4 linked regions of the Anolis sagrei genome follow. The protein of the gene in region 1 purifies or fractionates together with the protein of each later gene. This does not show direct contact. Links are inferred from orthologs where the notes say so. Each region holds a gene or a part of one and is shown on either strand. Other genes may lie near its edges.

The links.
Region 2: the proteins of MED19 (region 1) and CDK8 purify together in Homo sapiens (affinity purification with mass spectrometry; 8 studies listed by BioGRID and IntAct, counting the BioPlex papers as one, with this or other methods). This does not show direct contact. The link is inferred for Anolis sagrei from reciprocal best matches to the Homo sapiens genes MED19 and CDK8.
Region 3: the proteins of MED19 (region 1) and MED12L purify together in Homo sapiens (affinity purification with mass spectrometry; 3 studies listed by BioGRID and IntAct, counting the BioPlex papers as one, with this or other methods). This does not show direct contact. The link is inferred for Anolis sagrei from reciprocal best matches to the Homo sapiens genes MED19 and MED12L.
Region 4: the proteins of MED19 (region 1) and POLR2G purify together in Homo sapiens (affinity purification with mass spectrometry; 3 studies listed by BioGRID and IntAct, with this or other methods). This does not show direct contact. The link is inferred for Anolis sagrei from reciprocal best matches to the Homo sapiens genes MED19 and POLR2G.

Annotation. Positions count from the first base shown.
Region 1 is NC_090021.1:234,311,590-234,318,609, forward strand, and holds the start of MED19 (mediator of RNA polymerase II transcription subunit 19), read right to left. Parts: upstream 3,024-7,020; 5' UTR 2,927-3,023; coding exon 2,722-2,926; intron 1-2,721. Other genes in the region: TMX2 (thioredoxin-related transmembrane protein 2), read left to right, coding at 3,329-3,517, 5,199-5,259, 6,934-7,020. UniProt on the Homo sapiens protein: Component of the Mediator complex, a coactivator involved in the regulated transcription of nearly all RNA polymerase II-dependent genes.
Region 2 is NC_090023.1:30,600,391-30,608,124, forward strand, and holds the start of CDK8 (cyclin-dependent kinase 8), read left to right. Parts: upstream 1-4,727; 5' UTR 4,728-5,063; coding exon 5,064-5,197; intron 5,198-7,734.
Region 3 is NC_090023.1:241,543,354-241,550,655, reverse strand, and holds the start of MED12L (mediator of RNA polymerase II transcription subunit 12-like protein), read right to left. Parts: upstream 3,014-7,302; 5' UTR 2,820-3,013; coding exon 2,721-2,819; intron 1-2,720. UniProt on the Homo sapiens protein: May be a component of the Mediator complex, a coactivator involved in the regulated transcription of nearly all RNA polymerase II-dependent genes.
Region 4 is NC_090032.1:12,908,791-12,916,348, reverse strand, and holds the start of POLR2G (DNA-directed RNA polymerase II subunit RPB7), read left to right. Parts: upstream 1-4,554; 5' UTR 4,555-4,673; coding exon 4,674-4,685; intron 4,686-6,788; coding exon 6,789-6,898; intron 6,899-7,558. Other genes in the region: ZBTB3 (zinc finger and BTB domain-containing protein 3), read right to left, coding at 1,262-2,623. UniProt on the Homo sapiens protein: Core component of RNA polymerase II (Pol II), a DNA-dependent RNA polymerase which synthesizes mRNA precursors and many functional non-coding RNAs using the four ribonucleoside triphosphates as substrates.

The sequences.
Region 1 (7,020 bases):
CCCACATTATCTGAGTGTGGACTCAGACAACTCAGTTCAAAACAGATATTCTGGGACATAGGGCTGTGGGAGCTGGAAGAGTATAGAGAAGTTGATGCACATTTCTCATGCACGGCTTTGACTCTTTGAGAGTTTAAAGCATCACTGCATCCTGAAGCTCTCTTTTGAACATTCATATGACAGCCACATCTTCAGGAATTTAGTTTGTGTTTCACCCAGTATCTCCCTTTTCTGAGGGAAACACACTTGTGTTGCACAGGCAAAAGAAGGAGCTCACCTCACACCACTCCACATTCCCCACGTATAATTTTCTTTTCCTGTATTCTGTGAATATTCGTTATGCCCAGGGAAAGGAAAATAAGGGGGAGGAGGAGAACACACAGAAAGAGGAAGAGCCAGATCCACTGGGACTGATTTCTCCTTCCATCTCTCCCATGTTTCTGATCTGCCCAGTATATTCTCCCTTTACCTGGACAATAGACTTGCACCATAGAGGAAGGGTGGGATCTCAGCATTGGTGCCCTATTTCCCTTCCCTATTAAAGATGTTGACTTTTTTCCACTTTCGCTGTTTCCCTAAGTCCCATATAAGTAGAGGGATGACTCTACTTATTTTAAAACAAACTTCCCAAAAGTCAGTAGAACTTCAAAAGAAAAAAGCATGCAATAGGTACAGAATGAAGCACCCAACTCCTGCTCCCCATTCCACAGGGTAAAGTAGTACAGGTTGAGCATCTGCTAACTGAAATGCTTGGGGACAGAAGTGTTTTGAGAAAACCTGTATTCCCACAATAATATATACTAGTTTTAAATGCTTGCTTATGTTTATTTTATGGATTGCTTATTATGTTTTACATTTGTGTCACTGACTGTTGCGTATTTACTATTGTATTTTATTTTACTGCATGTTAACATGTTGGGTCCCTTCGTGGGAGAAAAGTGGGATATACATAAAGATGTATTATTATTATTATTATTTGCAAGTATGTATATTATAAGACATCCTAGGAATGGGTCTAAACATGAAATTCACTTATGTTTCATATATACCTCTTATTTCTAGTTTGAATGTATTTTATACACAATATTTCAAATAGTGTTTTCTATGATGGTTGTGTGTACTAAAAGGCTATCACTATCTCTGCCAGCCATGTGGACAATTTCAAAGTATTTTGTATTCTGAAAGTCTATGTTGATTTGTCTTCTAAGACCCCTCCTGCACAGCTGTATAAAATCCAGATTATCTGCTTCAAATTTTTGGTTGTTGTTTTTGCTGCAACATAGGGCCCTTCCACACAGCCATATAACCCAGAATATCAAGGAAGAATAACCCACAATATTCCTTTGAACTGGGCTATCTGAGTCCACACTTCCATATATCCCAGTTCAAAGCAAATATTGTTAGATTTTATTCAGCTGTGTGGAAGGGACTTTAGGCACCCTTCTACACAGCTGTAAAAAATCAAGATTATGTACTTTGAGCTGGATTATATTAGTGTAGCCTGAGGCTTGTTCCACGCAGCTGAATAAAATCCCACATTATCTGTTTTGGATATATGGCAGTGTGGACTCAGATAACCCATTTCAAAGCAGATATTATGGGATTTTTCTACCTTGATATTCAGAGTTATATGGCTGTGTGGAAGGGCCCTAAATGTTGTCGTGTCGGTCAAAAATCTTCACTTTTGAAGGATTTAAATGCATACATGGAATATAACAAAATACAAGTAAACATACTGATCAAATACCACAAAGCTTTAAGGTCAGGAACAAGTACCTTCCAGGGCCCACCTACACTGTAAAATGAATGCACCTCACTACCTCTCAGGATGCTTGCCATAGATGCAGGCGAAACGTCAGCAGAAAATGCCTCTAGAACATGGCCATATAACCCGAAAAAACCTACAACAACCCAAAATGAATGCAGTTTGACAACTTCGAGGAATGATGTTCACTCCTCGAAGGCACACCAGAACTGCCAGGGCTCAATGCTATGGAATCCTGAGACTTGTAGTTTGGTGAGGCACCCATAGCAAACGACCTTGTTAAACTACAAGTCCCATGATTCCACAGCATTGGAATCACGCCCTTTATACACCTCCTGTCACATCAGCACTTTTAATCTTTGTACCCACCTTCTGGCCCGGCCCAGTTTTATTGTGTTTTAGTGTATTGTGCCTGTGGTTTACTTTGCTTTTCTGTTTTTAATTGATTTGCTTAGATTGTATTGTTATGTTGTGTGTAGAGGCCTTGGCCTGTGTAAGCCGCATCGAATCCTTCGGGAGATGCTAGCGGGGTACAAATAAAGTTTAATAATAATAATGGAGCCAGGGCTGTTCACGTGCAGACGTGTCCTCGATTCGGGTAAACAGCGAGGGAGACTCGACCTCACGTTCTCAACAATGAACTTCTCTAACTTCCGGTCTTACAGCGCCAAGTCCAGCCAGAAAATAGGAGCTCGGCTCCGCCCCCAGGTCCCCTGCTCCCTCATTCGCTCTGCCATCTGCCCATCACTTCTCGCCTAACCGTTGGTGAGATTAAATCCCCACAGAAGAGGGAGAAGCCCACCTGGGGCAACTGGGCCACCGATTGGACGGCTCCCTCCTGACGCCATCACGAAGGCCAACCCGCATTGGCTGAGAGCACAAGGCCCGCCTCCCTTTCTGGTTGGCTTAAAGGGCCTCCCGGGCCCGCCTCCCTCCCGCCCTCCCTCGGCCCCTACCTGGCAACTCCCGCATCAGGTAGAAGGGCCCACTGGCGGCCGCGGCCTTGCGCGCCGCCTCTTCTCCGATGGGAGCCACGGCCGGCACGGGAGAGGGCCCCGTCACGGGCCCGCCCGCTTTCCCCGGGCCGAAGCCCAGCGCAGCAGCCGCAACTGGCGGAGGAGGTTCGCTCGCCCCGAAGAGAGCGGAAAAATTCTCCATCATCCCGGCGTGCTTCGCGCAGTCTCCACCTATTGGCTCCGCGTCTTGGCAATCCCATGCGCTTGCCCCGATTTCATTGGCGGTCTCTGAACCCGCCTCCTAGCTATGATTGGCTAGCTCCCCTGGAAACCCGACTTTGCTCTGATTGGGTGGTTCCAACACTTCCCCTTGATGCAATTTTACGGGGCGCCGAAACGTCAATAGAATGCGCCGGAGAGAGGCGCTCTTGTTTATAGTCTCCGTAGCCGTTGGTGTGTGCGGAGTTGGCCAATCGAAGCGCTAGGTGTCACCTTTAGAACCGCCCTTTTTGGATTGACGCGTCCGTCGACCAATGAGTGTCAAAGAACGGTCTAAGCGGCGACCTGTTGGCGCGCGGTGCGGCGATTCGGTCAGTGGGAGGTGAAGATGGCGGTGCTGGCGCCCCTCCTGGCGCTCTTCTACTCCGTGCCGGGGATCTGCCGCTGGCTCGCCCAGCCCTACTACCCGCTCTCGCTCCTGCTCTCGGCGGCCTTCCTGCTGGTGCGGAAAGTGCCGCCGCTGTGCCATGGGCTGCCCTCCCAGCGCGAGGACGGGAACCCCTGCGACTTCGACTGGGTGAGGCCCTCCCCCAGGCCCCTTCAGGCGGACGGGCCTTCTCCTTCGCGCCTCGCCCTTCAGGCGGAGACTGCACGGCGACAAGCTTCGCTTCCCCACGCGGAATGGATCCTCCCGCCCCCCAATCATCATCATAATAATCATAATAATAATAAACAACAAAGCAAAACGAATACAACATACAATACATAAAATAATACATAAAATAAAGTACAATAAAATACATGGAAAGAAAGAAGGAGAATAATATAAAATAAACACAGGGTACAACAAAATAAGCAAAGACATTAAGCCGATGGACAGGGCCAAGTACAACGGGTAGGACTGTAAAACCCTGGGTGAGGTGGATAAGTAGGGTGATGCATCTGGTGGGGTTCGGATGGGACAACCAATGGGAATTAATTTCAACTAAAGGGTAAGATACTGTGCGTCAAAGTACAGAGTTGGTTAAGGTATGGGAATTTGATGTTCATTCCTCGAAGGCACACCGGAACAACCAAGGCTTTAGGCTCTTCCTGAAGGCTGCCAGGGTGGGCATTTGTCTAATCTCTCTGGGTAGAGAGTTCCAAAGTCGAGGGGCCACCACAGAGAAGACCCTCTCCCTCGTCCCCTTTTGTTCTTATTCCTATTGGATAATCACTGGTCACATAATCAAATGGAGGATTATGACCTGTTAGGGTCATTACTTATTGGATTCTGACCCATTGGGAAAACTGTAATATGTATGTCTTTTAAGAAAAAAAAATGGTATTCACATATATTTATACTTGGCAATCGATTTTTCAGTTGTTAGACCAGGCATGGGCTAACTTTCTAACTTGGGGATGGGTGGGCCAGAAGGGAGGGGGTTCTCCCCAAGTCCCTTTTCCGCCCCTTCCTCTTCTCTTTCAGAGAAGTGAAGGAATGACGGGAAACGTTTAGCTCTCAAAAGTGTTGGCCTTATCAGGATGAAAGGGTGGATGGAACAGAAAAAGTGTATCCATTAGATCCCATATTAACTACTCCTGATTAAAATCCAAGATATAATTAGACAAGACATTAGACTTCAATTATAGTTGTCAAGATTATCAAATTGACATACACGAGCATCTTTGTATATTATGTCCCCTCAATGTCCTCTCATATATAAAAACAGGATTTTGTGGCATAGTTTTTAAAAACCTTACTAACTGACCTAAATCATGACCTGAATCTGAATTCCTATATTACATTACTATATTTTTAAGTTAAGCCAAATTGATCCTGTTTAATTGCTCTGTTTCCATGCTATTTCCTATGCTACTATATGTTTCTATCCACCTATTATATCACCCTATCCATTAACCAGTTTGCATAGTGACTTCCTCCCCCCCCCTCCAAATTTATTATTATTTATGCTGTTTTATGCAATTTTAACTTGTTATTGTACTGTTTTTAATTGTATATTGCCTTGGGCTTGGCCCCATGTAAGCTGCCCCGAGTCCCTTCGGGGAGATGGAGGCTGGGTAGAAAAATAAAGTTCTTTTTCTTCCTCCAATTGTGTTATTAGATCAGAAAATATGAATATTTGTTAACCAGCTAGAAAGCAAAACTTAAATGACATAATTTTTGTCTGCCATTAAATGTTTTGCCTATTTTATGGTAAAACAACTTCTATAGACCCGTATTCATACTGCCTTTCAATATATTGTCTGTCTTTTAGCGGGAGGTAGAGATTCTGATGTTTCTCAGTGCGATTGTGATGATGAAGAACCGCAGATCCAGTGAGTAATACTTGTGTGTGTTTGTGTGCACTTTCAAGTTGTATATCAACTTAAAACACCGCATGAATTTGGGAAGGTTTTTCTGACAAAGCAAGACTTGGAGAAAGCTCGGCTAGTTCCCTCCTCTGAAATATAGCCCGAAGAACCTGGCATTCCTTGTTTGTTGATTAACTTCCAAAATCAGAAAGGATCCTATGGCTTCAATATATTTAACTCCTAGTAATATTTGCATTTGTTATTTATTGTTCCCTGGAGTAAGATACTCCGTTGCAACAGAGAGTTTACAGTGAATTTTTTTCCAAAGAGTTTTTACCTGTATTAAAGGCTTTTTCTTTCTTCTTAAAAAAGTTGGCTATGTCCATTCAGTGCACACAATCGCTAATCAAGGATGAGATATGTGTGTAATTTTATGAGATGAGATAATCTCCATACAGTAAATCAACACAGAAACTAAAGTTTCTAAGTTGCTAGTTATTCTGCATTAGATATATTATTAGTGAGGTCCCCTGTACATTCTTTTCAGAGGAGTGTCTTTGAAACATGCTTGCTGTTTCTTTTGTTTCTGACATCTTATCTGTGATAGCTAGATAAGGTAGCCAGAAGGCAAAGTTTTCATGAACCAATGCTTAGTGCATTATGGAACGGGTCAAATGAAAGACGTCCTGAAGCTGATAGAGAATAGTAAAGACAGAAACTGCGTGGAAAATTAAATGAAATAGAAGTAGCTGAAAAGAGTGAAATAACCTCTTTGTATGAAAATAACCTGCCAGTAAGTCCACTCAAATGATCCTAATTGTTTAATAATAATAATAATAATAATAATAATAATAAGTACAGTGCCTAGCAACTTTGGCCTGCACTTAAACACTATTGGCACTGACAAAATTACCATCAGCCGTCTGAAAAAGGCTACTGGGATTTGCATGCATTTATTCGCCAATACATCACACAGTCCTAGACACTTAGGAAGTGTCCGATGTGGATCCAATACAACAGCCAGCAGAGTGATCTTGTTTGCTGTGGACTCACTTTGTTGTGTTTCAAATAATAATAAAACTTTATTTATATTCTGCCCTATTTCCCCTGGGGGAGATAGGGTTTTTATATTTCCCTGAAGGAAATATAAAAACTTATCAAAAAGGTATTTAACACAAGAGGGTAAATTGCTAAGAGTACAGCAATTGCATGACATCCTTAAAGTATTTATATAATTTGAGATTCAAAATGAAAATAATATACGAGTCACCTTGCAGATACCTTTCACGAAATACAATAAGATGGCTCTCAACTCAGATTATTGAGGGTTTTCGCTTGCTATAGGATGGGATGAAGACACCACATTGGTTACACATGCCTTCTCAAGCTACTTTTTGCCAGCCGTAAACCATCACTGCAGGTGGGGAAGTGGTTGTTCAGAATTAGAATACTGCTTCTGAAAGCACCAAACAAGTCCTGTGTTTTTGTTGTTTTATAAATCTGCAATTAAAGTAATGGTCACTTTCAATTGACTTTCTTTTAAAAGCAATTCATTGGGAGTAGCCTATAGCAGGCCCTAGGGGAAAACCTGTTCTTTGGACATGGCAGATATGTCCATCCCTACTGTAGTCTATACAGGACTAACAGATGATGCAGATACCTGAGCTAACCATCTGTTTTGTGTGTTTGTTTTTCAAGTTACTGTGGACCAGCATGTGGGAAATATCTTTATGTTCAGCAAAGTGGCCAACGTCATCCTTTTTTTCCGCCTTGACATCCGGATGG
Region 2 (7,734 bases), on another chromosome or scaffold:
TTACATCAAGTGTTTTATGCACAAAAATATTATATATAAAATTACTCTCAGGCTATGCGAATCTGTTATATATGAAACATAAATGAATTTCGCATTTGGGCATGGGCTGCACCTCTGAGATAAGCATTATGTATATTTAAGTATTCCAAAATAAAAAAAATAAATCTGAAATGTGGACTATTTCATTTTGGATAAGGGATGCTCAACCTGAAAGATCTGAACCAAAGTGGAAAACGACGTCTTCTCTCACAATTTTTGGGCCACAACTCCCACAATTCCATTTAACAGATGGCCTTTCAAGGCAATCTCTGTCCTCAGTTTGCACTTCCGTTCCATTCCACACTGTTACCCTTCCGGAATGTGTTTCCATGGGGATGGAGCCACAAACCCCAAAGATCTCAGTTCCTATCATGCTCCAGTCTCTGACTTCTACCGCTGGAATGTCATCAAGCCAGGCTTCAAACTCTAGGTCCCATCAGGCACCAAAACAATCCAGAGACCCTTAACTCCAGCTTCCTTTTAAAAAATAATGACAACTTTTCACTACATTAAATAAAAATCTAGGAGAAGAAATATGACTTTCAACGTTATCAGCTGCTATAATTGCATATATTTAATATAATTAAATGGCTGCAACTTTCACTGCTCCAAACTACAGTTCCCAACATGCACCAAAATTACCCAGACACCCTTACCCACAACTTCCTTTTTAATATTTTCCTGTAAAATATAATTACAAGTTTTCACTACAGTGAAATACTCTAGAAAACAAAGGAAAATATTACTTGCAACCTCTAAACGTTTTCCTTGTAACAAATAATTATAACCTTTCACCACATTAAAAACAATCCAGATTTTCTTTCTTTTTAAAAAATGACTTACAACCTCCTTGTCATCATCTCTTGTTGATACATCAATTCTACGGCAACAACTTCCAACCTTTTGTATTTTTTTCCTTTTAAAAATAAGTTTTCACTCCATTGAAAGAATCCAGAAAATAAAGAAACATGTTGCAATCTTTTAACTTTCACTACATTAAAACATCAAGACATAAAAAATGGTTTGCAATTTTCTAATCAGCATCTATTATTGCAAAGACATCTTCCAATCTTTTTTCTTTTTTGAATTTTTGATTTTCCACTACATTAAAAGAATTTACAAGATAAAGAAAAAAATGTACTTTTAACCTAATTAACAGCTATGGGTCCTTTCAGACAGGCCCTATAGTATCTCAAGAGAAGCTCGGCTTGTCATTGAACATCGAGAAAACCAAAGTGCTCTTCCAGCAGTCACCAGTCAATACCTCTCCAATGGCGTAACTTAGAAAATGTTGATCATTTCCGCTACCTTGGCAGCCACCACTCCACAAAAGTCAACACTGACACTGAAATTCAACACCGCCTGAGCTCTGAGAGTGCAGCATTTTTCTGCATGAAGCAGAGTGTGTTCGAGGACCGGGACATCCATAGGGATACCAAGGTACTTGTTTATAAAGCTATTGTCCTCCCAACCCTGCTATATGCCTGCAAAACATGGACTGACTACAGATGTCACATGCAACTCCTGGAACGATACCATCAGTGCTACCTCTGGAAAATCCTGCAAATCTCTTGGGAAGGCAAGCGGACAAATGTCAGCGTGCAGGAAGAAGCAAAGATCACAAGCATTGAAGTGATGGCCCTCCGCCATCAACTCCGCTGGACTGGCCATGTTGTCTGGATGCCTGACCACCCAAAGCAGTTGCTGTATTCCGAACTCAAGAACAGAAAAAGGAATGTTGGAAGACATTTAAAGATGGGCTCAAAGCCAACCCTATGCGGTCAGTGGTTCCCTTGATGTATGACAAGAACACTTTTCCTCTGGGTGGATCTTCATCTTTACTCTCGTGGCTTGTTCTCGGTCTTGCAGCTCTTCTGATGTCTGAGGTGGAGTATCCATTGGCCTGGAGAGCACAGTTGAGGTGGTTCAGTTCATCTTGAAGGAGGTGGGGTTCGCAGATTCTTTTTGCACTGTCTGCCAAGGCTTTAATTGGTGCTTCTTTTTTGACTTGTGTATTTATTTCTCGTGTCAGGGCAGCCAGTCAATTATATTACATTTCTAACAGAACAAAGCAAACAAACAGAGAAAATACAAAATGTGTGAGTTTGGTAGTTGATTAAATGTCCTTTGATCAGTATCTGGCCACTTGGAGCGCTTCTGGTGTTGCTGCAAGAAGGTCCTCCATTGTGCATGTGGCTGGGCTCAGGGTGCATTGCAGCAGGTGGTCAGTTGTTTGCTCCTCTCCACACTTGCATGTCGAGGATTCCACTTTGTAGCCCCATTTCTGAAGGTTGGCTCTGCATCTTGTGGTGCCAGAGCGCAGTCTGTTCAGCACCTTCCAAGTCGCCCAGTCCTCTGTGTGACCAGGGGGGAGTCTCTCATTTGGTATCAGCCATTGGTTGAGGTTCTGGGTTTGAGCCTGCCACTTTTGGACTCTCGCTTGCTGAGGTGTTCCAGCGAGTGTCTCTGTAGATCTTAGAAAACTATGTCTGGATTTAAATCGTTGACGTGCTGGCTGATATCCAAACAGGGGATGAGCTGGAGATGTCTCTGCCTTGGTCCTTTCACTATTGGCTGCCACTTCCCGGCGGATGTCAGGTGATGCGATACCGGCTAGACAGTGTAATTTCTCCAGTGGTGTAGGGCGCAGACACCCCGTGATAATGCGGCATGTCTCATTAAGAGCCACATCCACTGTTTTAGTGTGGTGAGATGTGTTCCACACTGGGCATGCATACTCAGCAGCAGAGTAGCACAGCGCAAGGGCAGATGTCTTCACTGTATCTGGTTGTGACCCCCAGGTTGTGCCAGTCAGCTTTGGTATGATATTGTTTCTAGCATCCACTTTTTGCTTGATGTTCAGGCAATGCTTCTTGTAGGTAAGAGCACGGTCCAGAGTGACTCCCAGGTATTTGGGTGTGCTGCAATGCTCCAGTGGGGTTCCTTCCCAGGTGATCTTCAGAGCTCAGGATGCTTCTCTGTTCTTGAGATGACTTGGGTGATGGTTGGAGTTTTTATGTAGATATCTATCTCTGTGTGTGGGTTTTCTGTAAATGTGTGTATGTGTGTTGGTATGGAGGAGACGTGGTTTTAAAAAGGGATTTTTCAGAGATTTCCCCAATGCCCATATGTCATGATTTACTGCCATATTGGCCTATTTCTGCAGTAGGCCTATATTCACAGAAAATGCTGATTGTTTGAGAAATCAATGCTCCAAAGAAGTTAGTATTCAAGGATAACAGTATATCTGGACAAATCCAGCTAGCTGTTGGCTAGTTAGAACCCCCAAGTTTCCCAGTCACTCTGAAGCCATGTTTGCAACAGGCTAACAGATAAGGTACAGTCATGGTCAGAGAACAATGGACCATATTTATGATATAGTTGTGCCATTGTTAGGATCCCACGTGTGCTATAATGTCAATCAAAATCATAAACAAATAATGAACAACTGCATAGCTAGCTTAGACCAATGAAATGATTTGTCTTTGGGAACCAATGAAAATGTATATTATATTTACTATAAATGCTCTACAGCCCCATTGGGGTTGCGACAAACCCTTTGATTGCATCCCTGTATGCTTGTTTGTCGTTATTGCTATGGCCACGCAATAATAAATAGGTTTTTTTTGCAGTTTAAAGGATTCAACTTTTGTGGTGTCCATCCTTGCCCTCCCTACTGGAAAGGGGGCTTCTGCCTTTTGGGAAATACTGGGTTGTTGTAGGTTTTTCCGGGCTATATGGCCATGTTCTGGAGGCAATTTTTCTCCTGACGTTTCGCCTGCATCTATGGCAAGCATCCTCAGAGGTAGTGAGGTCTGTTGGAAGTAGGGAAAATGGGTTTATATATCTGTGGAATGACCAGGGTAATGTTTCAGCTGATCACCTTGATTAGCATTCAATGGCCTGGAAGCGCCTGGGGGGAATCTCTTGTTGAGAGTGAATTGATGTGCTTGATTGTTTCCTCTCTGTTGTTTTGCTGTTGTAATTTTTGAGTTTTTTAATACTCTTAGCCAGATTTTGTTCATCTTTATGGTTTCCTCCTTTCTGTTGAAATTGTCCACTTGCTTGTGGATTTCAATGGCTTCTCTGTGTAGCCTGACATTTTGGTTGTTGGTGTGGTCCAGCATTTCTGTGTTCTCAAATAATATGCTGTGTCCAGGTTGGTTCATCAGGTGCTCTGCTATGGCTGACTTCTCTGGTTGAAGTAGTCTGCAGTGCCTTTCATGTTCCTTGATGCGTGTCTGGGCAATGCTGCATTTGGTGGTGCCTATGTAGACTTTTGGAAAATATTTTGGTTTCGTTGCCCTTACAGGTATGCAATTTTACCTAACTTTTTGCTGTGGGAGGGGCTGCAGACCATTAGGAGATTTTTTTGCCTTGATATTCTGTGATATAGGGCTGTGTGGACTAAGCCCCCTTCCACACAGTTGAATAAAATCCCACATTTTCTGCTTTGAACTGGAATATATGGCAGTGTGGACTCTGATATCCCAGTTCAAAGCAGATATTGTGAGATCTTCTGCCTTGGTATTCTGTGTGGAAGGGACCAAGCAAACTCCACTTTGCATCTTTCTCTCCGCGTGGTGCATGCTGGGGAAAGTGCTTCACTGGAGGGGCGTGGCCTAAAAGGCCGGTCGGCTTCCACGTGGTGCCGAAGGAGTGAGGAGAGGGGAGGGGCGACTTTACGACAGCGCTCTCCTTTTGCGGCAGTGCCGTATTCCGAGGAGCGAGATACCGGCTCTTGTGGCGCTTGGGGGTCTCTCTTCAGCCGGCTGAGGGAACAAGAAGGAGGAGGAGGAGAAGGAAGAGGAGGAGGAGGACTAAAGAGGAGGAGGAAAGAGGCCGCGGCCCCCTCAGCCTCCGCACCCTTGGGCCTTTTTTCCTTCCTAGCAACGCCGCCGCCCTTTCCTCCCTCCCTCCCTTCCTCTCACCTGGATGGTCCGCGTCGCGGGGCCTCCTCCTCTTCCTCCTCCTCCTCCTCCTCCCCGGTTCCTGAGGCGAAGGCCAGGAGTCCAGGCCTCTGAATGAAGATGGACTATGACTTCAAGGTGAAGCTGACCGGGGAGCGCGAGCGAGTGGAGGACCTCTTCGAGTACGAGGGCTGCAAGGTGGGCAGGGGCACCTACGGGCACGTCTACAAGGCCAAGCGGAAGGACGGGTGAGTGAGTGAGTCGGGCCAGCAGCCTTCTTCCCGGGGTGGAGGCCTGGATGGCCATCCCATGGCCGCCTTGTTTCCATCTAGAGACAGGCATGGGCCAATTTGGGCCCTCCAGGTGCCTTGGACTCCAACTCCCATCATTCCTAACAGCCTCAGGCCTCTTCCTTTCCCCCCTCAGCCAATTTGGGACCTCCAGGTGTTTTGGACTCCAACTCCCACCATTCCTAACAGACTCAGGACCTTTCCTTTTCTCCTCAGCCAAATTGGACTTTCCAGGTGTTTTGGACTTCAACTCCCACCATTCCTAACAGCCTCAGGCCCCTTCCTTTTCCCCCTCAGCCGCTTATGCGGCTGAGGGGGAAAAGGAAAGGGCCTGAGGCTGTTAGGAATGGGTCCTGAGTCCACACTCCCATATATTCCGGTTCAAAGCAAAAAATGTGGAAGGGGCCTTAATTAAATACAAAGCAAATGGAGTTGGGCCTAGCTTATCCGTCTGAACATAGCTCTCCTTATGAACCATCCAGGAATCTAAGATCCTCTGGGGAGGCCCTGCTCTCAGTCCTGCCTTCTTATACATATCTGTATAAATAAAAATATAATGTTCGTTTGTGGGGTTAACAGAACTCAAAAACCACTGCACGGATTGGCACCAAATTTGGACACAATACATCTACTACCCCAAGGAGTGGCCATCACTCAAAAAGCATGGGTTTTGTCATTTGGGATTTGTAGTTCTTGGGATTTACAGTTCACCTACAATCAAAGAGCATTCTGAACCCCACCAATGATGGAATTGAACCAAAGATGACACACAGGACTCCCACAACCAGCAGAAAATTCTGGAAGGGGTTGGTGGGCATAGACCGTGAGTTTGGGGTTTTTAGTTCACCTACATCCAGAGAGCACTGTGGACTCAAACAATGAAGGATCTAGATCAAACTTGCCACAAATACTCCATATGCCCAAATGTGAACACTGGTGGAGTTTGGGGGAAATAGACCTTGACATTTGGGAGCTGTCGTTGCCGGGATTTATAGTTTTTATTGTACTTATATTTTAATGTGTAATGGTGATGCACTATGCTGTTTTGTATATTACTGTATATGAAAACATGTTGTGAACCAGACTGAGTCCCTCCTTGGAGGTGAGAAGACCGGTATGTAAAACTTCTAAATAAATAAATAAATAAATATAAAACTTCTAAATAAATAGTTCACCTACAATTAAGAGCATTCTGAACCCCACAAACGACAGAATTGGGGCAAATTTCCCACACAGAACCCCCATGACCAACAGAAAATACTTAAGGCCATCCAGACTAACTCTCTTCACCAGGGCAAGAAAATCTAATCAAAGCCCTCCTGACAAAGAGACATTCAGCCATAGATATAGATATATATGATTCACACACAGAGAGATATAATATCCTAGATGTGAAAGGGACCCCTAAAGAAGGACAATAATATGTTGCATGTTCCAGAATGGGCAAATCAGATACTCTCCACTTCAACACTGACAAAGAAACAGCAAGAAATACTGTTTACCCACAAGCAGAAAGACATTACATATATTAGAAACCATTACTTTATTTTCCAGATCACCAGACTGGGCAACAGCAACGCGTGGCAGGGGACAGCTAGTAATATAATAATAACTTTATTTTTATACTCTGCCAACCATCTCCCCTAGGGGACTCGGGGCAGCTTAAAGGGACACGCCCAAGATTACAATTGAAACACACATGTAAAACAATTTAACCATTCAAAACATCAAATAAAACAAATAGCGACACAATTGAAAGCAATATCAAAAACAATACGGCTGCAAGAAACATAACTGAGGTACAGATTCAATGAGTGCAATACATTTTTACAGGAGTGCAGGAAAGTGCAAAAATACAGTCAACTGGGCAGGAAATACTGTCATAAAGCACATTGAGGTAGAACGTATGCCAGTGTAAAATGCGGGCCGGTGTAAAGTGTGGAACTTCAAGTAGAGACAAGAAAGTTACTGGTGAGCTGCTTAGTTCACAGATTCGTTTGGCGGGGACGAGAGACAGGGCCTTTTCAGCGGTGGTCCCTCGGCTGTGGAACGCCCTCCCTAGGGACATTAGATCTGCCCCCACCCTCTTAATATTTCGCAAAAAAGTTAAAACCTGTTTTTTTGAGCAGGCTTTCTCAAATGCAGTGTAGCAGACAAACCCTGATCTCGGAACGACTGGACAATGCAATTGGAGAATTATTTTGGTAATGAGATGCAGAGGATCTATGTTTTTATCAGTTTTATTATTTACTGAATTTTATTTATTTATTTAAAACATTTATATTCTGCCCTTCTCACCCCCAAGGGGACTCAGGGTGGGGCACAGCATATATATGGCAAACATTCACTGCCGGGACACAAATTCTTATATACATACATAAACATTAAAAACATTTATCAAAATTTTAAAGTACACCATTTAAAACAGTCCTAGTCGTCCACATCAAATCTAATTTTCCTGGTCATCTTTCCTATTGCCACTTTATTGCCCTGTC
Region 3 (7,302 bases), on another chromosome or scaffold:
TTTTAATAAGTTTGTGCATAAAGAAAAATTGTGTATTTTAAACTATTAGAAAACAGAGGTGCAACTCCACTGGACACCCATATAGACAATACTGGAGTGTTTTGGAATTCTGGATGAGGGATGCTCAACCTGTAATAACAAACAAGTACTAAAAGTTTCAGTGATATGTTGTAAAACAAATCAGGACCTTTTGCTAGCATCTTCCCACTTTCCAAGCCAACTAGTCAGTGACTGGCACTACCTGCTTGGAGAATACTTGGAACCAGGAATGCATTGCATTTCAGACTTGCCCCCCAGATTTTGGTTTACATGTATTTGCATACACATTCATCATGACTTATCTTGGAGATGGGACCCAAATACAGAACGAATGCTTGATTCAAATGCATAGCCTGAAGGTACATTCATATAATATTTTTTATCATTCTGTGCATGAAAGAAAGTGTGTATATGCGTAACTATCCAAAAGCAAAGGTGCCACTATCTCAGCCCTCTAAATTGTCAGTTTTGGAATATAGCAGACTCTTGGCTAATTGAAACTTTAAAAACTGGAAGTCTCAAGTAACATGCCAAAACTTCAAGGAAATAATACTTTACATAACAATTTAAATACATGTTTTATACTGCCTTGGAGTATGTTGGAGGCTCCTGCCATGGAGGCTTTTAAGCAGAGGATGGATGGCTATCTTTCTGGCATGTTGATTGCCTGAGGCCATTAAATGCTAATCAAAGTAGCCAACTGCAACATTCACACTTGCCTCAAGCAGACAGGAGTTCTTTCTCCCACCCTGGGTATTTCAGAGATATATAAACCTCACTTGCCTAGTTTCCAACAGATCTCACAACCTTTGATTATGCCTGCCATAGATGTGGGTGAAACATTAGGAGAAAATGCTTCTGGAACATGGCCATACAGCTCAGAAAACTCACAGCAACCCAATGTTGATTGTGCTTTACCTGCATGGTGGGGGTTTGACTGGATGACCATGCGGTGTCTTCCAACTCCATGATTCTATGTTAAGTTTGCCTGAATTTGCTTTGAATTACTGTGTTTCAATATTAAATATCAAATCAAGAAGCATTTATGGCAATGTTTCTCAACCTGAGGAGTCATGAGGGGATGTCAGAGGGGTCTCCAATGACCATCAGAAAACACAGTATTTTCTGTGGGTTATAGGGGTTCTATGTGGGAAGTTTGGCCCAATTCTCTCGTTGATGGGGTTCAGAATGCTCTTTGATTATAACTCAACTATTAATCCCAGCAACTACAACTCCCAAATGTCAATGTCTATTTTCTCCGAACTCCACCAATGTACACATTTGGGCATATTGAGTATTTGTGCCAAGTTTGGTCCAGATCCATCACTGTTTTGAGTCCACAGTGCTCTCTGGATGTAGGTGAACTACAACTCCTAAACACAAAGGTCAATGCCCACCAAACCCTTCCAGTATTTTTTGTTGGTCATGGGAGTTATGTGTGCCAAGTTTGGTTCAATTCCCTCTTTGGTGGAGTTCAGAATGCTCTTTGATAAATCCCAGCAAATATCACTCCCAAATAACAACATTAAACCCCACCCCCACAACTCCACTAGTTTTGTAATTTGGGTGTATTGGGTATTTGTGCCAAATATGGTCCAGTGAATGAAAATACATCCTATATATCAGAAATTTGCACGATTCATAACAGTAGCAAAATTATAGTTACGAAGTAGCAAGGAAAATAATGTTATGGTTGGGGGACACCACAAAAGAGGAACTGTATTAAGGGGTCATGGCATTAAGGAGGTTGAGAAACACTGATTTATGGCATGGTCTAAATCTAAGAGGGACTTTCAAGCAACAAGAAACAACATTAATCTGGCACCTACCAGTCCCCATGGATGCTGGTGAACTGAGAGCCTAATGTATATGCTGAACTATACAAAAGCAGAGATGCCACTCTCTCAGCCACCTATGTGAACAATTTGGGAGTATTTTGGGATTCCGGATAAAGGATACTCAACGTGTCATAATGACAAAGAGATCCTTAAAGTTGTCTGCTTTGAGTGGTGCATTTAGAAAACAGGACCCTTGGCTGACGTCTCCCCATGTTTTTAAGTTAATTAGTCCATGGAGTTTGTGTAGTAAGGCTACCTGCTCAGAGAATGCCTAGTTCAATACAGTCCTGTCAAAGGGAGGGAATGAGGAACCAAGGTCAGTTTCCCACATGTGTAAGGGAGAAAAGGGGGGGGGAGTCTCCAAGTATCCCCCCTCCCAAAGTGTCAAAGGGCTTTCCCCTCCTTGCCCAAAAGGGCTGCCACCTTTGTGGAGGGGAAGAGTGCCTTTCTCTCCCGACGTTGGCATATTTCAAAAGTTTCGGGGTAAAAAGGGGGGTGGGGAAAGAGAGAAGATGGAAGAGGGGGCGGGGAGTGCGTCAGACCCATAGAGAGGCATGCAGCTCACCCAGCCACTCACCCACCCACGAGGGCGCCCTGCTGCCAAAGTCATGCAGAATGGCTCCCATGCTAGAAGCAGCGCCCTTCGGGGGGGGGGGGCTCACTGGGCAGCCCCCCCCCCCCCACACACACACACCCCTCCATCTTCCCATTGCCCCTCCCTTTAAGATTGCCTCCCTCCCTCCCTCCCCCTTCCTTTCTCAGGTGCCAGCCAGCCAGGTGCGCCCCAGGCCGGGAGAGGAGGAGGAGGAAGGAGAGGGGTCTCCAAAAGCAGGGGTCTCTCACCTCCTTCTGCTTGGGGTCCTGCGGGTAGACGTCGGGGGGGCCCAAGCGGGACCGCTTGAGGGGTCTCTGCTCATAGCTCAGGAGCCCGAAGGCGGCCATGATCTTGCATGTTAGCCGGCGAAATGAATGAGAGAGAGAGAGAAGAGAGAGTTGGAGAGATGGAGCAGGCTCTGAGCACCAGGGAGCAGCACTTGGCTGGCAGACAGATAGACAGGCAGAGAGAGAGAGAGATAGACAGACAAGCTGGCTTCCCCCTCTGGCTCTTTTTTCCCCCTACAGGGAAGACGGCAGGCACAGAGGGAGGGAGGGAGGGGGGCAAGGGCTGGGATGCTGCTGCACCAATGCAACCCAACCCACCCACCCACGGAGGCTAAGGATGCCACCCCCACAGAAGTGCCCAGCAGCAAGTGAAGAAGAAAGAGAAAGGAGGGGGAGGAAAGGAACACATTGTATACAATGTTCTGGGGAGGGGGGTGTACCTAGGGGAAGGGGACCTACATACAGAGGGAGAGAACATCTTATTCCCTCCTCTCCCTGCAGCTGCAAGCGTTCCGCTCTTTCAACCTAGGCCAAGTTTCACTGCAAGCTTTGTCATTATTAATACAGTAGACTCAGTTAACTAGCACCCAAGGGGATTAATAGATGCCGGATAAAGGCAGTTTCTGGTTGCTTGAGAGTTACTATTAAAAATCAGCCTAACTGATATTGATATTAAAAACGAATAATAATAATAATAATAATGCAATAGACTCGGTTAACTGGCACCCAAGGGGATTAATAGATGCTGGATAAATGTAGTTTCCGGATGCTTGAGAGTTACTATTAAAAATCAGCCTAGCTAATATTATACTATATCATAAACTCTGGCTTGGCTTGATATTGATGTTGAAATGCAGTAATTAAAACAAAATAATAACAACAACACAGTAGAGTAGGTTAACTGGCACCCAGAGGGATCAGTAGGTGCTGGATAAATGCAATTTCTGGTTGCTTGAGAGTTACTATTAAAAAGCAGCCTAACTAATATTATACTATATCATAAACTCTGGCTTGGCTTGATATTGATGTTGAAATTCAATAATTTAAAACATAATAATAATAATAATAATACAGTAGAGTCGGTTAACTGGCACCCAAGGGGATTAATAGATGCCGAATAAATGTAGTTTCTGGTTGCTTGAGAGTTACTATTAAAAAGCAGCCTAACTGATATTTTACTATATCATAAACTCTGGCTTGGCTTGATATTGATATTGAAATGCAGTAATTAAAAACTAATAATAATAATAATAATAATAATAATAATGTAATAGACTAGGTTAACTGGAATCCAGGGGGATTGGTAGATGCAGGATAAATGTAGCTTCTGGTTGCTTGAGAGTTACTATTAAAAAGCAGCCTAACTAATATTATACTATATCATAAACTCTGGGTTGGCTTGACATTGAGGTTGAAATGCAGTAATTAAATCCAAAATAACAAGAACAACAATAACAACAACAACACAGTAGACTAGGTTAACTGGCACCCAGGGGGGATTGGTAGATGCTGGATAAGTGCAGTTTCTGGTTGCTTGAGAGTTATTATTAAAAATCGGCCTAACTAATATACTATATCATAAACTCTGGATTGGCTTGTTATTGATATTGAAATGCAGTAATTAAAAATAAATAATAATAATAAAATAATACTTTATTTATAACCCACCCCATCTCCCCAAAGGGACTCAGGGCAGTTTCCAGCAAAAGTATCAAAGTGGCAAACATTCAGTGCCAAAAACAAACAAACAATAAATCAAAACAGTGGATAAAAATCTCAACATAAAATTATAAAACTATCAAAATAAAACCCAAAAATTAAACTTAAATAAACATAACACAGGCCCGCTGGTAGTGCATCAGGTTAAACCGTTGAGCTGTTGAACTTGCTGACCGAAAGGTTGTGAGCTCCCACTGTTAGGTTCAGTTTCTGCTAACTTAGCAGTTCGAAAAACATGCAAATGTGAGTAGATCAATAGGTACTACTTTTGTGGGAAGGTAAGGGTGCTCCATACAGTCATGCTGGCCACATGACCTTGGAGGTATCTATGGACAATACCAGCTCTTTGACTTAGAAATGGAGATGAGCACCACTCCTCTCCCACCCCAGAGTCGGACACGACTAGACTTAATGTCAGGGGAAACCTTTACCTTTACCTAAACATAACATAACACAGAAACACCTCCTTGATGTAACATTTCCTCCAAGGTCATGTGGCTGGCATGACTGCATGCAGCACTGTTACCTTCCCACTGGAGCGGAGTGGACCTTCCCACTCCCTGGATTCAAACTGCTGACCTGTCAGTCAGCAAGTTCAGCAGCTCTGTGATTTAACCCACTGCACCACTGGAGGGTCTTAATTTTTAGTTAAAGCACAGTATTATTTCTTCATTTTTTGTCAGTTGTTTGAGAGTTCCGGTTAACGGAAAGTCTACTGTATTAATATGATCATGTTTATCTTAATTGTTCTTCATATGGTAGTCATCTCTTAGATTCTGCATCCACAGATTGGACCACTCATAACTTGGAAATATTTTGGAGGGGAAATAATCCAAAAAGCAAACTTTGATTTTGTTGCACTTTTGAGCACTACATTGATGTGTATACATGCCCTGCTGTTATCTCTTACCATTTCATGGATCATCAGGCTGCATCTATACTAAGCATGCGCAAACTTTGGCCCTCCAGGTGTTTTGGACTTCAGCTCCCACAATTCATAACAGCCTACACTGTGGAATTAATGCAATGCTTTGGAGACATGGGAGTTATAGTTTTACAAGGACTTTAAGGTTGTTGGTTTTTTTGCCAGTGTGTTGGTTCCTAAACAAACAAGTTTCTATGATTCTATAACACTTGGCCCTGGCAGATAAAGTACTGTAATCACAAAGTGCATTAATTCTACAGTGTTTGCTATTTTATATAAGGGATGCTCTCTTACTGCACTGCTGTATGTAATGGGATTTGAGCATCCACAGATGTTGGTCTCCATAGGGGTCCTAGAACCATCCTGAGCAGATACTGAGGGCTCACTGTGTTGTTATTGTCATCACTATCAATATAATCTTCTGTCAAAGATGTGATTCCATTGGCAGCAGCAACATCCTCCCCATGAGATGGTCCCTGTGGGATAATGTTGTGAGAATTTTATATCCCAGTTGAGAAGGGAAACAGTACACAATGTTCTACAAACACTCTCGAATACACAGGATCATAGCCACACTGTCTGAATCAGAAAGAACTAGCTCACCCAGTTTTATACCCAGAGTTGCTAACATGGCCTAGAGATAGATTTTCGTTTCATCTATAAATTGCTCCCAGAGAGTGTTTAAAAGACCTGCCTGCTCTTAAGTGCAATGGTATTGTTAAATTATAGAAGAACTAAGCCACATAACTGACTGAGCTTAATGAAGTGCCTATACTGGGGAATCAGTGTGATATGTGCTTGTTTCAAACCATTCATATATTTTCACCACCTGAAAATCCATGTCAGTCCAAAGAAACAACTGTGAGAAACAGATTAGGATGAGTGCGCATCTCTGTAGGTGGATAATAGGTTCACAGAATCATAGAATCATAGAGGTGGAAGAGTCCTCATGGGCCATCCAGTCCAACCCCCTGCCAAGAAGCAGGGAAATTACATTCAAAGCACCCCCGACAGATGGCCATCCAGCCACTCTTTAAAAGCCTCCAAAGAAGGAGCCTCCACCACGCTCCGGGGCAGAGAGTTCCACTGCCGAACAGCTCTCACAGTCAGGAAGTTCTTCCTAATGTTCAGGTGGAATCTCCTTTCTTGTAATTTGAAGCCATTGTTCCGCATCCTAGGGCTGCAGAAAACAAGCTTGTTCCCTCCTCCCATTGACTTCTATTCACATGGGTATCATGTCTCCTCTCAGCCTTCTCTTCTTCAGGCTAAACATGGCCAGCTCTTTAAACCGCTTCTCATAGGGCTTGTTCTCCAGACCCTTGATCATCGTTCGGGGCTCATTCCCCACAAAGTATAAAAGGTAGTGTGGCCATTAATGTTTAACCCAGACACTGATAATGGATGATGATGATCTCTGTGTGTGTACAGTAAACTCTCAATTAACCAGAATCCATGTGGATTGGTTGGTGCTAAGTTTCTGGTTGCTTGAGAGTTACTATTAAAATAAGCCTAACTACAGTAATACTATATCACCATACTTTATTTTTCCATGTCAGGAGTGACTTGAGAAACTGCAAGTCGCTTCTGGTGTGAGAGAATTGGCCATCTGCAAGGACATTGCCCAGGGGACGCCCGGATGTTTGATGTTATTACTATTCTTGTGGGTGGCTTTTCTCATGTCCCCACATGGAGAACTAGAGGGAGCTCAACCCGCTCTCCCCAGATTCGAACCATTGACCTGTCAGCAGTACTGATGAATCAACCTGGACACAGCATATTATTTGAGAACACAGAAATGCTGGGCCACTCTAACAACTACCATGTCAAACTACACAACCCATTGAAATCCACAAACATGTGGACAATTTCAACAGAAAGGAATAAACCATGAAAATGAAT
Region 4 (7,558 bases), on another chromosome or scaffold:
CAACATATTATTTGAGAACACAGAAATGCTGGACCACTCTCACAACCATCATGTCAGATTATACAGCCATTGAAATTCACAAGCATGTGGAAAATTTCAACAAAAAGGAGGAAACCATGAAAATGAACAAAAACTGGCTACTAGTATTAAAAAAAACTCTAAAATCAGGACAGTAAATAAAGAACAACACTCAGAAAACAGAGGAATTCCAGACATGAATCAATCAGGGCCAGCTAACATCTTCCAACAAAGGATTCCCCCAGGCAGGAAGCAGCCAGACCTTGAAGCCGAAAGGCTTTTCAATGCTAAACAGGGTGGCTAATGGCAACATTCACACCTGCCTCCAACAGACAAGAGTTCTTTCTCCCACCCTGAGCATTCCACAGATATACAGGGTGCGGCAGCATAACTTCCTTTTTTAAAATGCGTGCCATTCAGTCGGTTGAAGACGTAGTGGAGCGCTAGTGGTCTCGTTCGAGAGGCGGGAGTATAAAGTTTTGTCCTGACACAGTTCAGTTGCTATCATGCATTGGAACAGTGAGGAGCGTGCTTTTGTCGTTGAGGCCTACTTTTCGAGCGGATTTGGAGTGGCCGGCCCGCTCTCCAGATTTGGCCCATTGTGATTTTTTTCTGTGGGGTTTTTTGAAATCCCGTGTTTATGTGAACCGTCCAAGGACCCTCCAAGATTTGAAGACCAACATCCAGGAAGAAACTGCCAACAGAACGCCTGCTATGGTGGCAAGAGTCAGCAACACTAGAAATCGGTTTACTCAGTGTTTGGAGAATGGGGGATGTCACCTACCTAATTTGATCTTCAAAACTACGTAAAACAACACTTTAGGTATGTGCCTACACTATAAAAAAAATAAAAAAAATCTGATTCATACAATGGGTTTTATTAAGTTTTGAAAAAAGGAAGTTATGCTGCCTCACCCTGTATAAACTCCAATTACCTAGTTTCCAACAGACCTCACAACCTCTGAAAATGCCTGCTGTAGATGTAGGTGAAATGTCAGGAAAGAATGCTTCTGCAACATTACCCTACAGCTCAGAAAACTCACCACAACCCAGAGATTCTGGCCATGAAAGCCTCCAGCAACACAATGATGAATCATTTGGAAAGCTCTGGTTGTGAGAGTGACTGGAGGAGAGGAGAAAAAGTTGGATGCAGACCAATCACCACCTTCAAAGAAGTCCTAAATCGCATGGTATCTACAGGAAATAATCAGAAATAACCTTGTTCTCTGCTGGGACCTGAGACCTATGAAGGGTTCTCCATGTCCTGTTTGCAACGCTTGGCTGCCAGGTCCTCATTGTGGGCTTTGCGAATGTGCCGGTAAAGGTCGCCGGACTGCGTGTAGCTCCGCATGCAGTAGCGGCATTCGTAGGGCCGTTCCCGTGTGTGGACGGTGGCGTGGCGCCGGAGTGTGTAGGAGCACGAGAAGGTCTTCCCGCACGTCTTGCAGGTGGGCACATCGTCGGTAAAGATGCCGAAGCTGGAGTGGGACTCGAAATCCGGCAGGTACATCTGTTCATGGAGGGGCGGCGTCACCATGTTCGAGAAGCTCTGCCCGCCAGGCATGGGGATCATGTGATACGGGAGGTGCTCTTGGGACAGGAAGCCGCTTTCCGACGTCACTTCGTCTATCCCAGCAGGGTCTTCAAACGTGTCCAAATGGCGCCCACATCTTCCAGGGAGCGCTGTCTCTGAGGCAGACCTTTGGAAGATGCTTTCCAATCTGAACTCTGCGCCCTGTCCCTCCAGTTGCTCTGTCGCATCAGACTCCTCGTCGGAAATCACAATGGCTTCCACTTTGACCTTGACAGACGGCCGGTTTGTTTCCTTCTGACAAAATGTGTCTGTCCTTTGCTCCAAATACCCCTCTGGAGCGTGGTCTGTGTTAGAAGAACCTTCATTTGCTAGAGAAAAGCTATTGTGTGGGATTGTTTCAGTGGAACTGCTGGGACTAGAGAAAGAAATGTCAATCACGGGTGCTTGTGGTGGCTTTGTTGGCAGCGTGATTTCCATGCCTGGCTGCGTTGTATCTGCCACATCCAAAGTAGAGGCCGCAGTTTCCTCCAAAGCAACCTTCTCTCCTCCTTTCCACTCCTCTTTTTTGTCACTGTCTTTCTGACACAGGGATGGCAATGGGAAGGGCTGAGGCTCAGGCATCGGAGGCTGAAACTTGGAGGTACTGGGCAGAAGTTCTGAATTGCCCGGGGCCTCCTCTTCCCGCTTGGTGCTGTCCGCTTCAGTCAACGCTCGGGCCTGAAGCTTCTTTTTGCACACCTTAACAATGTCATTCATGTGCAGGTAGCTGGCCGCTGCCAAGACATCCTCGACTGGCATGTCGTTGAAAGACAGGCTGCCTTTGTACATGAATTCCAGCAAGAGTTCGAATGCCGGGGCAGTGACGATCTCGTTGTTGATGGACACCACGTCCCGCTTGTCCAGGCGCTCCTTGTAGAACATGTGGAAGAAAGTGCTGCAGGAGGCCAACACAGCTCGGTGGGCCAGGAACTGGGTACTGCCCACCAGGACGGTGCAGTCGCACAGGAAGCCATCATGCTGCTGCTCCCACAAGCTCCGCAGCACGTTCTGGCTGTGGTTGGGGAACTCCATGCCGAGGCCTCTCTCACGGTCGTTGGGCGTTCAGTGGCATAGCTCAGCCTCCTTTGGGACAGCAAGAGAAGACACTTGGTAACTTTAAATAATAATAATAATAATAATAATAATAATAAATAATAAACTTTATTTGTACCCCGCTACCATCTCCCCAAGGTGCGGCTTACATGAGGCCAAGCCCGAAGTACATCAAACAAACATCAATAGCACAACATTAATCAACAATCAATAAAATACAAATCATATAAATCACATAACAAAAACAACAATCAATAATGACATATTAAAAATGGTCGGGCCAAATGTAATAGATTAAAATTGAGAATATGCTGATGTGAACAGGTAAAATGTAACTGGGGTCGGATTTTTCAGAGAGAAACGAGGGAACGCAATCCATCCTAAGTCAGTATTTAAGAAATTACACTGCTTAGCCGGTATTGCACCACCTGACATCCGCCGGGAAGTAGCAGCCAATAGTGAAAGGACCAAGGCAGAGACATCTCCAGCTCATCCCCTGTTTGGATATCAGCCAGCACGTCAACGACTCAAATCAAGACATAGTTTTCTTAGATCTACAGAGACACTCGCTGGAACACCCCAGCAAGCGAGAGTCCAAAAGTGGCAGGCCCAAACCCAGCACCTCAATTCATGGCTGATACCAGATGAGAGACTCCCTTCTGGGCACACAGAGGACTGGGCGACTTGGAAGGCACTGAACAGACTGCGCACTGGCACCAAGAGATGCAGAGCCAACCTTCAGAAATGGGGCTACAGGGTGGAATCCTTGGCATGCGAGTGCGGAGAAGAGCAAACCACTGACCACCTGCTGCAATGCAACCTGAGCCCTGCCACATGCACAATGGAGGACCTTCTTGCAGCAACACCAGAGGCACTCCAAATGGCCAGATACTGGTCAAAGGACATTTAGCCAAATACCAAATTTGCAAAATCTGTGTGTTTTTTTCCCTTTTCCCTTTTTAATCTCTGTGTTTGTTTTGCTCTGTTAGAATTGTAATACAATGGTTGCTGATGACACGATAAATAAATAAATTAAAGTGCATTGTGAGGACATATTGCTGAGAGTTCTCCTTATTCTGGGAAGGCACGCCGGAACAACCACGTTTTCAGGCTCCTCCTAAAGACTGCCAGGGTTGGGGCATGCCTAATGTCCCTGGGGAGTGAGTGCCAGAGTGGAGGGGCCACCACCGGGAAGGCCCTCTCCCTCGTCCCCCCCCAAGGGCGCCTGCGAGGGCGGTGGGAGCGCGAGTAGGGCCTCTCCAGGGGAGCGAAGAGATCCTGTGGGTTCGGACACAGAAACAGGCCGTTTGAAGGGCCTGACCCAGGCATGGGCACACTTTGGCCCTCCAGGGGTCTCGGCCTCCAACTCCCACAATTTCTCTCAGCAGCGGCCTGTGGTTCGTCCGTCCAGTCACTTCCGATGCTTTTGTGGCGTCGTGGGCCCCCATTTCCCCCCATCTCTCAGCCCCCACGAGCACCCCCAGCCGGCTCCCCCCGCCCCCGCCCTGCCCGAGACCTCCCTCGCCCCAGAAGGAAGAGGCCCCCTTCCCAGCCCCGACACGGTGCCAGCAGCGCTTCCCTCTCTTCCGACGGGGCGCGCCGGGCGGAGAGGGAGCCCCTCGATTCCCCCCACTTACCCACCACAAAGCAGAGGCCCCGAGGGACACGCCCCTTTCGCCTGATTGGCTGGCACTCTCTGTCACTCTCCGCGACAGCCTCTCTTCCTCCCCCCCGCCCCCTTCGCGGGAATGTTTTCTCCTCCATCTGTCGCTCTTGAAGGGGAAGGAACTTGCTGCGTTCTGTCTCGCCATTGGTCAAGAAATATCACCATCTGTGTCCTACATTCCGATTGGAGAAGCCTCCTAGCGAGGTGAAACGTCACTCACTGTGAGTTTGCAACGGTTCAAATACGAAGGGATCACGGGAGAAGGTGCTGTTCCTTTAAGGAGGAGGGCGCTCCGACCGGCGCAGCCAATCAGGAGGAAGCTGGTTTACAGGAAGGGAAAAGGTGGCTGTTGGAGCTGGGAGCATGTTTTATCATGTAAGTTAATGGCCGGAGCTGTATTTAAAGCATCTAAACGACTAATGTATTGTCGAAGGCTTTCATGGCTGGAATCACTAGGTTCTTGTAGGTTTTTTCGGGCTATAGGGCCATGTTCTAGAGGCATTCTCTCCTGACGTTTCGCCTGCATGTATGGCAAGCATCCTCAGAGGTAGTGAGGTCTCTTAGAATTAGGACAATGCGTTTATATATCTGTGGAATGGCTGGGGCAAAGAGCTCTTCTCTGCTGAAGCTAGGTGTGAATGTTTCAGCTGACCACCTTTATTAGCATTTGACGGCCTGGCTGAGCCTGGGAAAATGTTCTGTTGAGAGGTGTTAAGATGTGCCTGGTTGTTTCCTCTCTGCTGTTTTGAATTCGACAAGAATATGGCAAGCTGGCTGCATGCTTATTAGGAGTGAAATTGGGTGCATCTACATTGCAGAATTAACCCAGTTTGACCCCACTTTTGCTGCAATGGCTCAATGATATGGAATCCTGGAAGTTGTAGTTTCCCAAGGCCTTTACTTTTCCCTGCATTGAGCGCAGGCAGATAAAGTAGGGTCAAGCTGCATGATCAGCATGACCCTACTTGACCCAGGAAGTCATGCTCCCCATGCTCTATTCTGCTTTGGTTAGACCACACCTGGAATATTGTGTCCAATTCTGGGCACCACAATTCAAGAGAGATATTGACAAGCTGGAATGTGTCCAGAGGAGAGTGACTAAAATGATAAAAGGTCTGGCGAACAAGCCCTATGAGGAGCGGCTAAAGGAGCTGGGCATGTTTAGCCTGAAGAAGAGAAGGCTGAGAGGAGATATGAAAGCTATGTATACATACATGAGAAGAAGCCACAGGGAGGAGGGAGAAAGCTTGTTTTCTGCTTCCTTGGAGACTAGGACGCGGAACAATGGCTTCAAACTACAAGAGAGGAAATTCCATCTGAACATGAGGAAGAACTTCCTGACTGCGAGAGCTGTTCAGCAGTGGAACTCTCTGCCCCGGAGTGTGGTGGAGGCTCCTTCTTTGGAAGCTTTTAAGCAGAGGCTGGATGGCCATTTGTCAGGGGTGATTTGAATGCAATATTCCTGCTTCTTGGCAGAGGGTTGGACTGGATGGCCCAAGAGGTCTCTTCCAACTCTTTGATTCTATGATTCTATGATTATCTTGATACGACTATTATAATGTAATAAATTGTATGCTCATATAATATTGATTGTAATATTGTAATACAATATAATAATATAATAATAATGTATTATATATTACATTTAATATTACTAACAATATTACAGTATAGTCATACAGTACAAAATAGTAATATATAATACTAATATTGTGCTATGCTAATAATATAATATATTGTATGTACATATACTTTGTAAGTCGCTCTTAATCCCTTTTGCAGTGAGAAGGGTGGGATATAAATGTCATAAATAAATAATAATTTTTGGTGGGCATTTTAAAAAAATAATTATTGTATAATACATAGAAACGTGCCATCTTTGAAATTAACATTCAAAATACCAGTATTTTCCCCAATCCCACCACCACTACAACCCCATCATAAATAAATAATAAATAAATATTGGGTTGTTGCATGTTTTCCGGGGTATATGGCCATGTTCCAGAAGCATTCTCTCCTGACATTTCACCTGCATCTGTGGCAGACATCCAGAGGAGCTCACAACCTCTGAGGATGCCTGCTATAGATCCAGGCAAAACATCAGAAGAGAATGCTTCTGGAACATGGCCATACAGCCCGAAAAACACACATCAAGCTAGGATTCCGGCCATGAAAGCCTTCTATAACAAATAAATATTATTATATTTATCATTAAAGAAAAGAAAGGTTTTCACCTGGTTTCATGGAGTCAAAAGGAAGACTGCCCATTAAATATGCTGCCTACATATTCACAGGTATTGTGTAAGCATCTGAATGCCAATTGCTATAGGGAAACATCAGGGGATGATGTTTGTGAGTCTCCAGGAGAATGTGACTGGCTCTTCCTTATGCCCTGAAGTAGTTGGAGTTTTCTCTGAACTGTTTAAAGTTCTTGTTATTTATTTAGTGGGCGCTAACCCCTGTATTCTCTTCCTCCAGATATCTTTGGAGCATGAAATTTTGCTGCATCCACGTTACTTTGGGCCTAACCTCCTCAACACTGTGAAGCAAAAGCTGTTCACCGAAGTGGAGGGGACCTGCACTGGAAAGTAAGTAAAAGTGGCTAGAGATTATCTTTTCCCATTGAACTTGCTTGTATTATTATTATTATTATTATTGACAGCTCTGCCCAGATAATTGAACAGTTTTGTGTGTGGGTTATCTCCAAGGCCACTACTTGGGTTTTCAAGTAGAACGGCATTAAATCATTATGCCCTCTCCTATAATTATTATTAGTATTATTTGATACACAACAAGATCTGTACACAACATACAAAATCACTATGCTGGCTTTTGTATTCAATCACATGTTGTACACTTCCCAAGTGTCTACGACTGTGTGATGTATCAGTGAATTATGTGTGCAGATCCTAGTTGGGTGGCCTTTTGCAGCTGACAGATGGCAATTTTGTCAGCTCCCGATTGTTTTTAAGTGCAGGTCAAGGTCTTTAGGCACTGCACTCAATGTGCTGATCAACACTGGGACCACCTTGACTGATTTGTGCCAGAGTCTTTGCAGTTTGATCTTTAAATCCTTGTTCTGTGTAAACTTTTCCAGTTGTTTCTCATGAATTCTATTATTATTATTTGTTACCTGTAATTAAAGCACACAGGTAAAACACAACAGCATTTAAATACATACATTAAAATACATAGGACGAAAATTAAAACACAAATACCAACACAGATAGTTCCCAAGTTACAAAGAA